Linked DNA regions of Drosophila melanogaster. The protein of the gene in region 1 interacts with the protein of each later gene in a pairwise test. Each region holds a gene or a part of one and is shown on either strand. Other genes may lie near its edges.

Evidence for each region. The genes of interacting proteins can lie anywhere in the genome.
Region 2: the proteins of Poxm (region 1) and d-cup interact in a two-hybrid assay, tested with the Drosophila melanogaster proteins (one large-scale study listed by BioGRID).

The regions. Positions count from the first base shown.
Region 1 is NT_033777.3:8,329,304-8,336,408, forward strand, and holds the start of Poxm (Pox meso), read right to left. Parts: upstream 4,490-7,105; 5' UTR 3,822-4,489; coding exon 3,812-3,821; intron 1-3,811.
Region 2 is NT_033777.3:12,890,035-12,893,658, reverse strand, and holds d-cup (davis-cup), read right to left. Parts: upstream 1,704-3,624; 5' UTR 1,605-1,703; coding exon 1,248-1,604; exon of another isoform or gene 1,193-1,247; coding exon 1,091-1,192; intron 1,038-1,090; coding exon 837-1,037; 3' UTR 501-836; downstream 1-500.

The DNA of each region.
Region 1 (7,105 bases):
GCGAATGCATTTTCGACGGCGGGTTGCTCCCATAAATCTTGGGTCTTGGCAAGCGGTTCCATCTCCTTCCGAAGACCCAGCAGGTTGATTGACGGAGCGACATCGCGGTGGGGAGATGCCTTCATATGTTTATTTTCTTAATTCTGCCGCCGGTTGCTTGCAGCATATATAAATTTATATGCATTCGGTATGCAGAAAAAATTAATTTAACAACTCAGTTGACTTGAGCTGAGGCTCAGCCAACGCGTCGCGTATACGCCATGTGGCCCGCCCCTTTTCACTCTTTAGTTGGTTGCCCACATTGTTGCGGTCCTCATCGACTTATAAATAGTTGGGTTTTAATTTTTTTTTTTTTTTTTTTGGTTCTACACTAACTACGCGAGAGCTTGTCGACAATTTTGCATTCGGAGCGTTGCACAATTTGCCGCACAATCGCATTTATTTATCAGTGAATTTCACAGAATCGTCGCGCCAAGAGAAAGAGGAAGCCACTCTACGTCTGTCACTTTGATCCGCTGGCAATGCCATTTTCCTTTTTAATCTGCTGCAGAGTTCAATCCCAAGTGTTATCAATGGAAAAGAGTCATGATTGGCATCGCTTTATGTTTACTTAACATCTATCGAATCTGCTTTGAACCAGACGAAGAAATGCAACTCCTTACGGCTACTTTCCCCAAGGAACGCTAATAGCTGGTAACTGGCATTTTAGAGAAATTTTAAGTGTCTCGATCTAGCTTGCCATCTGCTCGCGTATTTCCGTTTTCAGATCAAGTGCAAGCGCCTCGAATTATAAATGGAGCCCATAAGATAGGCGCCCCAGCAAGTGGGAATCAAAAGTACATAAAGCTAAATAGATTCCTGCGGCGTCAACAGCATTGTCTGTCAACAGAAATTAATGAGTCCATAAATCACGACAGCCACCGCCAAGATAGCGACGCACTAGCTCCTTTCTTCCGCCCCCTTCGGAAAACTGGTAGATGGGGCCCAGTTGGAGGAGGCTAGCAAATATGACGGCTCTAGCCAGCGAGCTCGAGGAACTCGAAAGGGGTGCGGCCCAGCCGAAAAAAAAAAAGAAAAAACCAAAGGGAAGATGCCGCAGCGACTTCAATTACGCGTACGAGGAATGCGCACAATGCGAGTGCGTAGCCGAAATGTGCTCGATGTCGATGGCAAACCCATGGCCAGAGTTCCGATCCCGTCCCACAGGCCCAAAGGAGATCCAACGCATCCGACCAATCATTGGCAATGTACTAGAACCGACAACTCCGCTGCAGTTCGGGTTCGCCGGCACTCGAGCAATGTGCAACGCCCTTCGCTGACAGCGGCGAGATGCATATAAATCTAACCACATGTGCACCAGCTCACCCACTCCCCAATCCTGCCCACTAGGGATTCGGAAAGTAGCTGAGGCACTTACATGGAATTGTTATTGTATTGTTTAGCGGTAAACTATCTTTTAACAACAAACCCTTTAATTTCCTTTAGCTACATAATTTCATATCATTTTATTGTATGAAATGAACTTCTAGAGCTAGCTGGAAAATAGCCAGTTTCACAGCTCTGATCCTAGGACTCCAAATTCGAGACTGAGAAATGGAGTTTGGAATGATTGTGGCAGTTCCGGTTTTGGGTCGCCATCGCCCCCATGGGACTTGACACAGGCCATCTCAAGGGGTTAGAGTCTAGGGGTTAGGGGTTAGAACCAGATGTTAGCCGCCCGCTTATTGATGCGATCGCATTCATTATCCCAGAATGAACTGGCTCAAACACGTGCCCCCTAACGATTAGAAACTCATTAAATATATGGTAATGAGCTGAGTTTGCTTCCAAGAACATGAACTACACTTGTCAGATGTCAGAGGTTGTGGATCCATGGGGAGATGTCCACGCCCAAAGGGAGCAAATGTCAACTGATCTACAGTGAGAAACCTAGCATATTACAACAAAAAGTAGAACATACTATTCAAAGGATAAAATGCAAAGGGTTTTGGAGGTTTTAATTATACTCAAAGCCTATTTAGTGCAACTTTTTTAAGCTCGCCGAGCAATGCCCAAAATGACTGCAAATGCGCTTAATGAATGTTCCGCATCAGCGGTCGGGGATGTGATTTAATTAAAGAACTCAGGGGAAACGACGCCACACAATCAAGCCGAGGCAGTGAAGCGTTTTCCCAAACCCGAACCGCAATCATCGGTATCCACGGGAGGAAGCTACTGGTCGGGCTTTCAGATCAGTCCCCGCCGCATCCTCCCGCAGTCGCTGCTCCTGGGCACCTACTCCCATACCATATAGACTCTTCCATTAAGGCATGTACACATTGACGCGACGTTTTCCTCCTCGGATCTCAAGTGTTTGCCTGCCTTTCGTGGCCATCGTCTGCGCCTTTTGTTTTACTGCCCCTTCTGTGATTTTAACATCTTGCACTTGCGGCCCGCGTCTGGTGGGCTTTTCATGTTTAGCTACCGAAGTAGATGGCTACCGGTGGCCGTTAGTCACGCATTTCTGCACCTCTGGTCCAGAGTCTGGGTTTTGGTTTGGGTTCGGGCATGAGCATGGGTCTGCATCGGCGTCTATATCTTTTTCGACGTCTCCTAGTGAGCAAACAATGCTGGCGTACAAACAGAATGTCAAAACATCGAAAGCATGTCATTAATGGACCAAAAGTGCGGGACCTCCTAGCCGACTTATAACTTCTTTTCAGCTCGGACAAGTGGAAAAATATATATTCGTGTATGTCCTTTTGATACTTTGCCATAAAGAGGCTCAAGCAAACAAATAAATACTTGAAACTAAGTGGGGAATACCATTATAAAAGATTACCCATAGTCAGTCACACTTGTATGTCACTCATAGAAATTGAAAACTATTGGCAAATTATTTCAAAAGATGATCTAAGCAATTCGAAATTTGTAAAAGTAAATCGACGCATGCCAAATTATTCGATTGCGCACATGTTTGTCAACAACTGAGAGAACTGATCAAATCTTTACACACTTGTGTAGCGTAGTTTTCGGCCATAAGGCCATGTCTTGCACTCGCATTTTGCTTTTGGCCCAAAGCACATGGACAAACAGAGACACGGACACTTGGAGCCAAAAGTGAAGACCGCACGACAAAGGCAGAAACATTACAACGATCATTAGTTAAATTAGGAGCCTTGGCTCCGGAGTTTGGGATTGGGATTGGGGTTATGGGTTTTGGATTTTCGGTTTAGGGTTTTGGGTTTTGGAATCGGGTACGTGTGCGGACGTCGGCGACATCATCGAAAGTCAAACAAGTGCCGCGGCTACCGCGAGGCTGTCGATCATGCGCCAAGCGACGGCAGCCTTTTGAAACGAAAATCAAAAGCAAACATCTGCCTCTTGATGTTGCCCAAAAAAAAAAAAAAAAAAAAAAAGAAGTTGGTCCAGCGAGCGATTGTGTTTATCCCAAGCAGTTAGGGGATCCGGATAAGGACTTGGCTGGAGGATCGGACAAGAGGGCTTTATTGGCAAAACACTCGAGTGGCGGGCTTAAGTTAAGAGATTTAAGTGAAAATATAGTGCTACTTTTGAATTTGTCTTTTCGTTACCTTATATTTTAAGATAGAGAGGGAAATGTGATTTCAAAAGTCTTATCAATATTTCCTGCAATATACATATTCTTGTTTTTCTGATTATATTAACCCAAATCTATCAATAAAATAGCTACTACGCTTTTTAAAGAAACCCAATGCCGTCGGCACCTCAAAAATGCCGATAGATCTAAAAATTTTAATTTGGAAATGAATTCTGAGGCCTATATCTTTGTGAGTCATGGATTGAGACATACCTGGGTCCATTTCGGCCGATGGCAATTGATTGAAGAACTCCAGAATTGCAATTGTGGGCACCCAAATCTGCCTTTCGCCAACTCCGCCGTGGAACTTTCTCCGATTGGATTCGCCGGAATAGTTGGACTCTGCTTTGCTGGGGATTGTCGGTGGTTACCTAGTCGTTAACTTTTCGCACTTGGCTATAATGTGAGTTTCAATTAAGGCATGAAATTTGTATACAAATTGGCGCCAGTTGTGCGGGACAGCATCGGGCTGCGATGCCTACTATGCCGTGAACCAAGACTGAGATCTGATTAGCACATTTTCGGGCCAAAACGATCGCTCTCGAGTAGGTTGGCTCGAAAATTATCACGCACTTATCACACCTTATTGGGGAAGCGGGAACTACACACACTTAATGACACTACAATGGGTTTGTTATGCTTTGATTTTGGGAATTATGTCGGTTTACTTTGGACTTGACTGGCGGACCTCCCGTGCGATTGATGGTTTGCAAATGAACCGATTTAAACAGCATTCACTGATCCGTGCGCGCGCCTTTAAATCTTTCGATGGCCTTTTTGCTCTAGCGTATCGGGTCGTAGCGTATCGGTTGGGAACGGTTTGGATCGGGAAAACCTGGCGCGCTCTCCAAAAACGATCGTTGCTGCTCGTCACCCGTGTCTGCTGCGACTAACGCTGCCCGCGGCGCTGCCGATCAAGATCGCCCACAATCCACGTCCACGCACACATTGAATATCACCACCACAGCCACAGTCACATCCACATCTACAGGCTCAAGTGGAAGTGGAAGCCACCGCGTCGACGCAGCATCCCAAGATCTCGCTCTCTCTTTTTCTCACTCTCCGCATTCTCCTCCGCAAGCACACACACACTCATCCGTGAGAGGAAGGGGCGGTCGGTCGAGCGTATATGTGGGTTTTAATGGCGATGATCGCGCACTGGTGTGCGTTTGTTGGTGGACCGCGGGCAAATAATAAAAATGAAGAATGTCTTTCAGCGATCAGGAGCGCAGGCAGCGAATTGAGGGTAAGCCCAGAAGAGTTAAGGCGCCAGTAACTTTGGTATCGAAATATCTTGTAAGTGTTTAAAGTAAAGGGTTCATATAAATTAAATATTTTAATAAAGAGATCGAATTCAGAAGTTTAGAAGAAGGTTTTTAAGACTTTATTACATCAAGTTATACACAATAATCTATACAATTTTTTTATTATTTATCATAACATATTTCCGTTTTCTTGCTGATGGATAATAAACTAAGCTAACAACCCATCTCTCCTTTTTTCCCCAGTTACCGCTCCTGTAGTCGCTCAACTTTGTGTTTGTGTGCCAACGGATGTGTGGGTGTATCCATGGATCGGAATTCGTACTCTCGCTCTCTCTCCGCTGCAATACCTACACAGACGAACCGAACCGAGTGAGTGAGCATACGCAACCGGGCGGAGTTAATTTCTGAATGCTTGAATGGCCAATCTGAAGCAAGTAAGCGTATCCGTAGCGTTACGCAGGGTGGGCGAGCGATGTCATGACTTCTTAGTGTCACACAGATGAGGAGCAGACGAAAAAGGAGCCGAGGGAGAAGGATAGAAGGAGAGAAACGGAAGGAAAAGGAAAGGGGCGGGGCTGTGGGAATTCTCGGAGCGCGTGCATCTATTTTTGGTTCATTAAGAAAGCCATATCGCTAATAAAGCGGCACAGACAGCTAACCCCGTAGATCCCCAGGGATCCACCTCCCGGCCAATGCGGCGTATGCGTGATGCCAACTCTCGCTGAGGCGTTGCGTCTTGCTTGGTTAGAGTTAATTATAAGAAATGCCGTCTTCATCTGATTGTCACTAATTCTGAATACCGCCATTTAATGATAGATGCCAATTGTCGTTGTCATTCCCTCATTAAAATGGTCAAATCGCCGCTCTTGCTATTCTTAATGTTGTGCTCGCTCTCTTCGCTGGCTGTTTAGCATGGCTGTGTGTGCACTTAGTGCGCGTGTGTGTGTGTTTTGGCCCACACACACTGTTGCGCGTTGGACACACCTCCTTGAGTTGGCTTACGCTTACCTGCTCATACCTTTTGTTGCGAATCCAATTGGCCCTCTCCCTGTCACTTTCTGATTTCTGCTCATTGCCGACTGCATTTCCCTGCATTTTGTGGTTTGACGAACGCCATTTCCGACATTGCCTTTGTTTTAAAACAAATAATTCTTATAGTTACAATGTACTTTAAAAAATTTAAACTAAACTCTCCTAATACAATTCATTATTGTTAAATTACTTGTCTTTTTAATTTTTTATAATTTTTATATAAATTTTAAAAACATTTAAAATGTATCTATTACATTGGCATTTTGATTTTGTAATAAACATAAATACATATTATTTAAATAATATTGTAAAAACAATGCATTTTCTTGTTCAGTTTTCTACTTACTTTTAAGAACGAAATGATTAAAGGGAAACACAAAATCATCATAGAGTAAACAATTTTTTTCTTTTTATTTAGTAATACTAGATAGATAATAATAGATCAAGTTGAAGAGCTTTATTTAATCATTAAAAACAATTAAGTAAATCTTTTAATAAAATAATCCAAACGCTAAGAAGTAAATCTCCGATACGTAATGGATCGACTTACAAAATAATTGGCCATATGCGAAAACCAAGAATTCTTCCCCGGCGGCCAAAGCTTCAATTTGATGACTAAAGCATTGGGGATAAAGAATTGGGGGAGCTGATGACAAAATTGTCTCCGCGTTTAACAAATTGGGTGACAGGCTTTGAAGTCGCCGGCAGCCAGCGACAAATGACAAGCATAACAAATGAACACTGTGCGTTTTCCGCTTATTTTTTTCTCCTTCACGGATACTTTCCAGTTGTATCTTCCTGTGTTATAAAACAAGCGGGAGTGGAAGGAGTCGATGTGGAATCTGCCAGGCACTTGAGAAAACAAAGGAGCTAACACCAGGGACTTGGGAAAAGGAGTCCAAGTACCAGGAGCAGCATCGTATGTCATAAAGTGGCAAATGCGCTATTAAATTGACACATATAAGTCAGAGGAGGAGGACAAGTTACATAAGATTGCGCCAGATGGGCGGGGACTATGCACTGGGAAAAAACACTTTGGAATTATAGATACAGAAGTTTGGATATATGTTTTGAAAAGAATTTAACTTATAAAGTACACCTTATTAATTGTTATCAATACATTTTTTCATTTATTATTCGTATAAAATTATCATATTGCACAGTCCTTTAACAATGGAAATCGCCGCTTTTAAAGTTACAAAAAAATATA
Region 2 (3,624 bases), 4.6 Mb from region 1:
GGCCTGCAGTGGCTGCAGTTGGAAGCCTGGATTGGAGAATGTCCCGACAATGTAGAACACCATCCATCAAATGTCAATTGTATGCCAACTGCCAACAAATCAAGCTGTCATGAGGCAGTGGCAAAAGGCAGTCGTCGAGCCAGTGGAGCATTCAACCATAGCAAAGTATTTCTGGAGCTGCGCTCCGTATTTAAAATTATGTCACTAAAGCGGGCTACACTAGGAATAACATCAAAACAATAACTCAAAAGTATAAAATTCTATTGCCATTTTAAATAAGTTACTTACATCTGTGAAATGTAATAAAATTAATAGTTAGTTTTTATAATATTATACTGTACATCTTAAATCAAATCTGTGTACATCGTATTTTGGAATACCTAAAGAATTTATGTTTATACATTTTGTATGGCAATAATAAATTATTAATTTTTTAGCCAGTTTAAATGAATTAAACATTTAAACATAAATATACAAAAATGAATTGTAAGCTGTGAATTGAAAGTATTGTTACTCTATTTTATTGATATTTATGTTAAGTATTCCATCGTAATCTTTAATATTTTTCCCCGTGTGGTCGAGAGACAGCTGGTGTCCCCTATATATGCTCCATCCATCTATCCATCTATCCAGCGTCTCGTTGCAGCTGTCAGCGCTCTATTCTGCAGTTCATCATCATTGTCATTGACATTTTCGAGTGGCTACAATGGCTGAACAGAGAAAAACGCGGTGGCGGGGCGCACTGATTTGCATTGCTTTCGATTTATTTGTGCCTCAAAGATTTATGTGACTGGCGGAGTTCTGGCAAAATGCCACATACCCTTCTGCAATCATACCTACAACGTACCCATTTCGGGTATGTGAGAGTATATGGCAGTGCAGTACGCCACCACCAGACGCGTCTCGTCCGAGGGAAAGATGGGACCCAGAAACTCCAGCAGACGCGGCTGCTGCAACACGATCGATCTATACTCCTCAAATGAGATGTAGCCGTCTTGGTCTTCATCAAATTTGAGGAGTAGAAAATCGACCATGTCCTAATTGGGCAACAGATTGAATGAGGGCTTGAAGTTGGTAAATTCCAGCTCACCAGTCGCATCTCGAGTACCTCGTCGTCGTCGCCGACGAAAAACCTCTCGACCGAAGATGAAATGATCTCTCTATTAATACCCATGCCATTTTTGTCGTAAACCTAATTGAAAAATTAAAAAAAAAAAAAACAAATGTATCGTGTACATTCCCATTACCATATATGCAAATTCCATTTTCCGTTCCATGTCGCGGGACATTAGAATGGTCATGTAGTTGACAAATTCCATGGGCGTCACGTGTTTCCTGCCACCTGCGATTAGGGTTACGATGCGATCCACCACGTCCATGTCATATAGCTGCTGGAAACCGATCACAATGTTCACAAACTGGCTGGATGTTATTCGGCGAGCAGAGGGCCCATTCTGGAGACTATACTTGTAGTAGATCATCAGGATGCAGGTCACCTCAGAGTCGTTGAAGGGCACCAGTCGGGCGATCTGGGGAACAAGTCCGCCATAAACCGACTGAAACCGCTGATTGAAACGGTCGTTCATGGTAAGGTCCAACTTCATCTTTGCTGGTATTGATACAAGAACATGTGAAAGCAACGCAAAGAACTCAATATAAAGTAACAACAATAAATATAAACAATAAACTAACTGCTACTAATTGAAGGGAAAAGCATTAAAGATGTGATTAAATAGTTTTCTCTTCTTAAAAATTTATTTGAATTATGGTTTAATTGAAATCATGTAATATTTCAGACAGTATATTCCTTCGGAACATGAAATTGATATGTATCTTGGCTGATAATATATTTTAGATTTAGACACATTTAAATTTTGGCCTGAAGGAAATTGATGCCATTACGCTTTCGTCTGGCATTTAAGTGCAGTCACCGGAAGTGGAAGTGGCTTGGGGCGTCGATTTATTTAAAGAAAAAATCAAAGAGCAGAAAAGTGAAAGTGGGCGTGTAGGAGGACAGTTTTCCAGGCAGACGCATCCATCAAACTGCCAGACAGACAGACGACGGTGGCCCACAACATGCATATCAGTCAATTTATCTCCAATTGTGTGTGCGTGTAAAAAAAATTACGCAATTTATACGGGGGTCCATGTGTATAGTGTATAGTGCGTATGTGTGTCCTCCGGACCCATTGAACTTTCCGTGGAAAATCTACATATTGATAAATGACCCCAGCAGCCAGTGAGGCAGAAAAATCGATGGACGAGCCCCACCACTTGACATTTAAAGCGCCGTAGCGAATTTATGCGAATTTATATTGCCTTTTGCTGGGCCTGTCTTTGATTTCATTTAATGAGATGTCGATAATTACACGTGCCAACCTGAAAAGTGGGTCACATTACTGGTGGGCATGGATTTAACAAACTTAAAGTAAACTTTATTATGCACAGGCGACAGATGGAATGACCGACTGGGCGTACAACTGACTGTGTCGTGGAAAAACTTCATCAAAATGCTGAATCTGCGTCGCGGGCAAGTGGAAAATGGTGGAAAATCGTCGAACGGCAGCGGTAGCAAAGTGTAAAATAATTACTCGGCTTTTTCTGCATTACTTGCCCGCTTTTTGACGCACTGTTTCAAGTAATTAATTGAATAAGCGCCTTGGCCCGCAATTGTATTAAATTGCCCGCTGCATTCCCACTGATTGACTTTCTGTCTCTGCGCCAATAATTATTCAAAGTGGCATCGCACGCGGATCCTGCTGGGAGAACCTTGCAACACAGTTTAAGGCCCTGGTCCGATTGATTATTTCACTTAAATTTGTCACCGCGTTCACTGAAAAAAAATTGTACTAATTTAAAATAAAAAAAATCATTTTTTAACTGATAAAAAAAGATATTAGATTAAGGAGATTAAAAAGAAGATGTGGTAGATACAATAGAAATAATATTTATTTTATAATGAAGAAATTTATGAGCTCGAACAACAACAATAGAGCAAGAAATCGGAACTATTTTAAATACCATAAGTGATGTGATTCAGTTAAAATAATAGTAATGTAAAATCGATCCAATTTTTTGCAGTTTTTACCCAGAAATCATATTAAAAATCGCAATATCAATATCAGACCAAATTAAACAAAGAATCTTTTTCGCAGGCTTAAAAAGGTAATTGCATCGTTGCCCTGAAATGTTTCGTTTTATTTGAAATGCAGAGTTACATCGAAAGGGCATTTCAAATGCTTTTCACTGCCTTGACTTCTAGGCGAAAATATTTTGAAGGAGTTGGAATATTTGTGTTTTTAAGTATCTGGCTGGCATAACCTTCGCCCTTCCATAAAACATTGGCCAAAACTTGCAAAGTAGTTGCCAACTTTGATTGCCTGGCCAGTGCTTGTCGACATCGTCCTTTGGCGGCGAGGGGCATTGAGTGATCATTTTGCGTACTTTTTTTTATGACCATCAAAAATACATGGCTTGTTGTAAGTCTCGGCCAACATGGCCTTTGCTTTGCATAATTGCAAAGTTTACGAGCAACATCTAGGCGAATGCATACATGCATGTTTAAGAGAACAGGGGTTGGAAAATGGGGGAAAAATCAGAGGCGGTAAGAGCCGCGTGAATAAT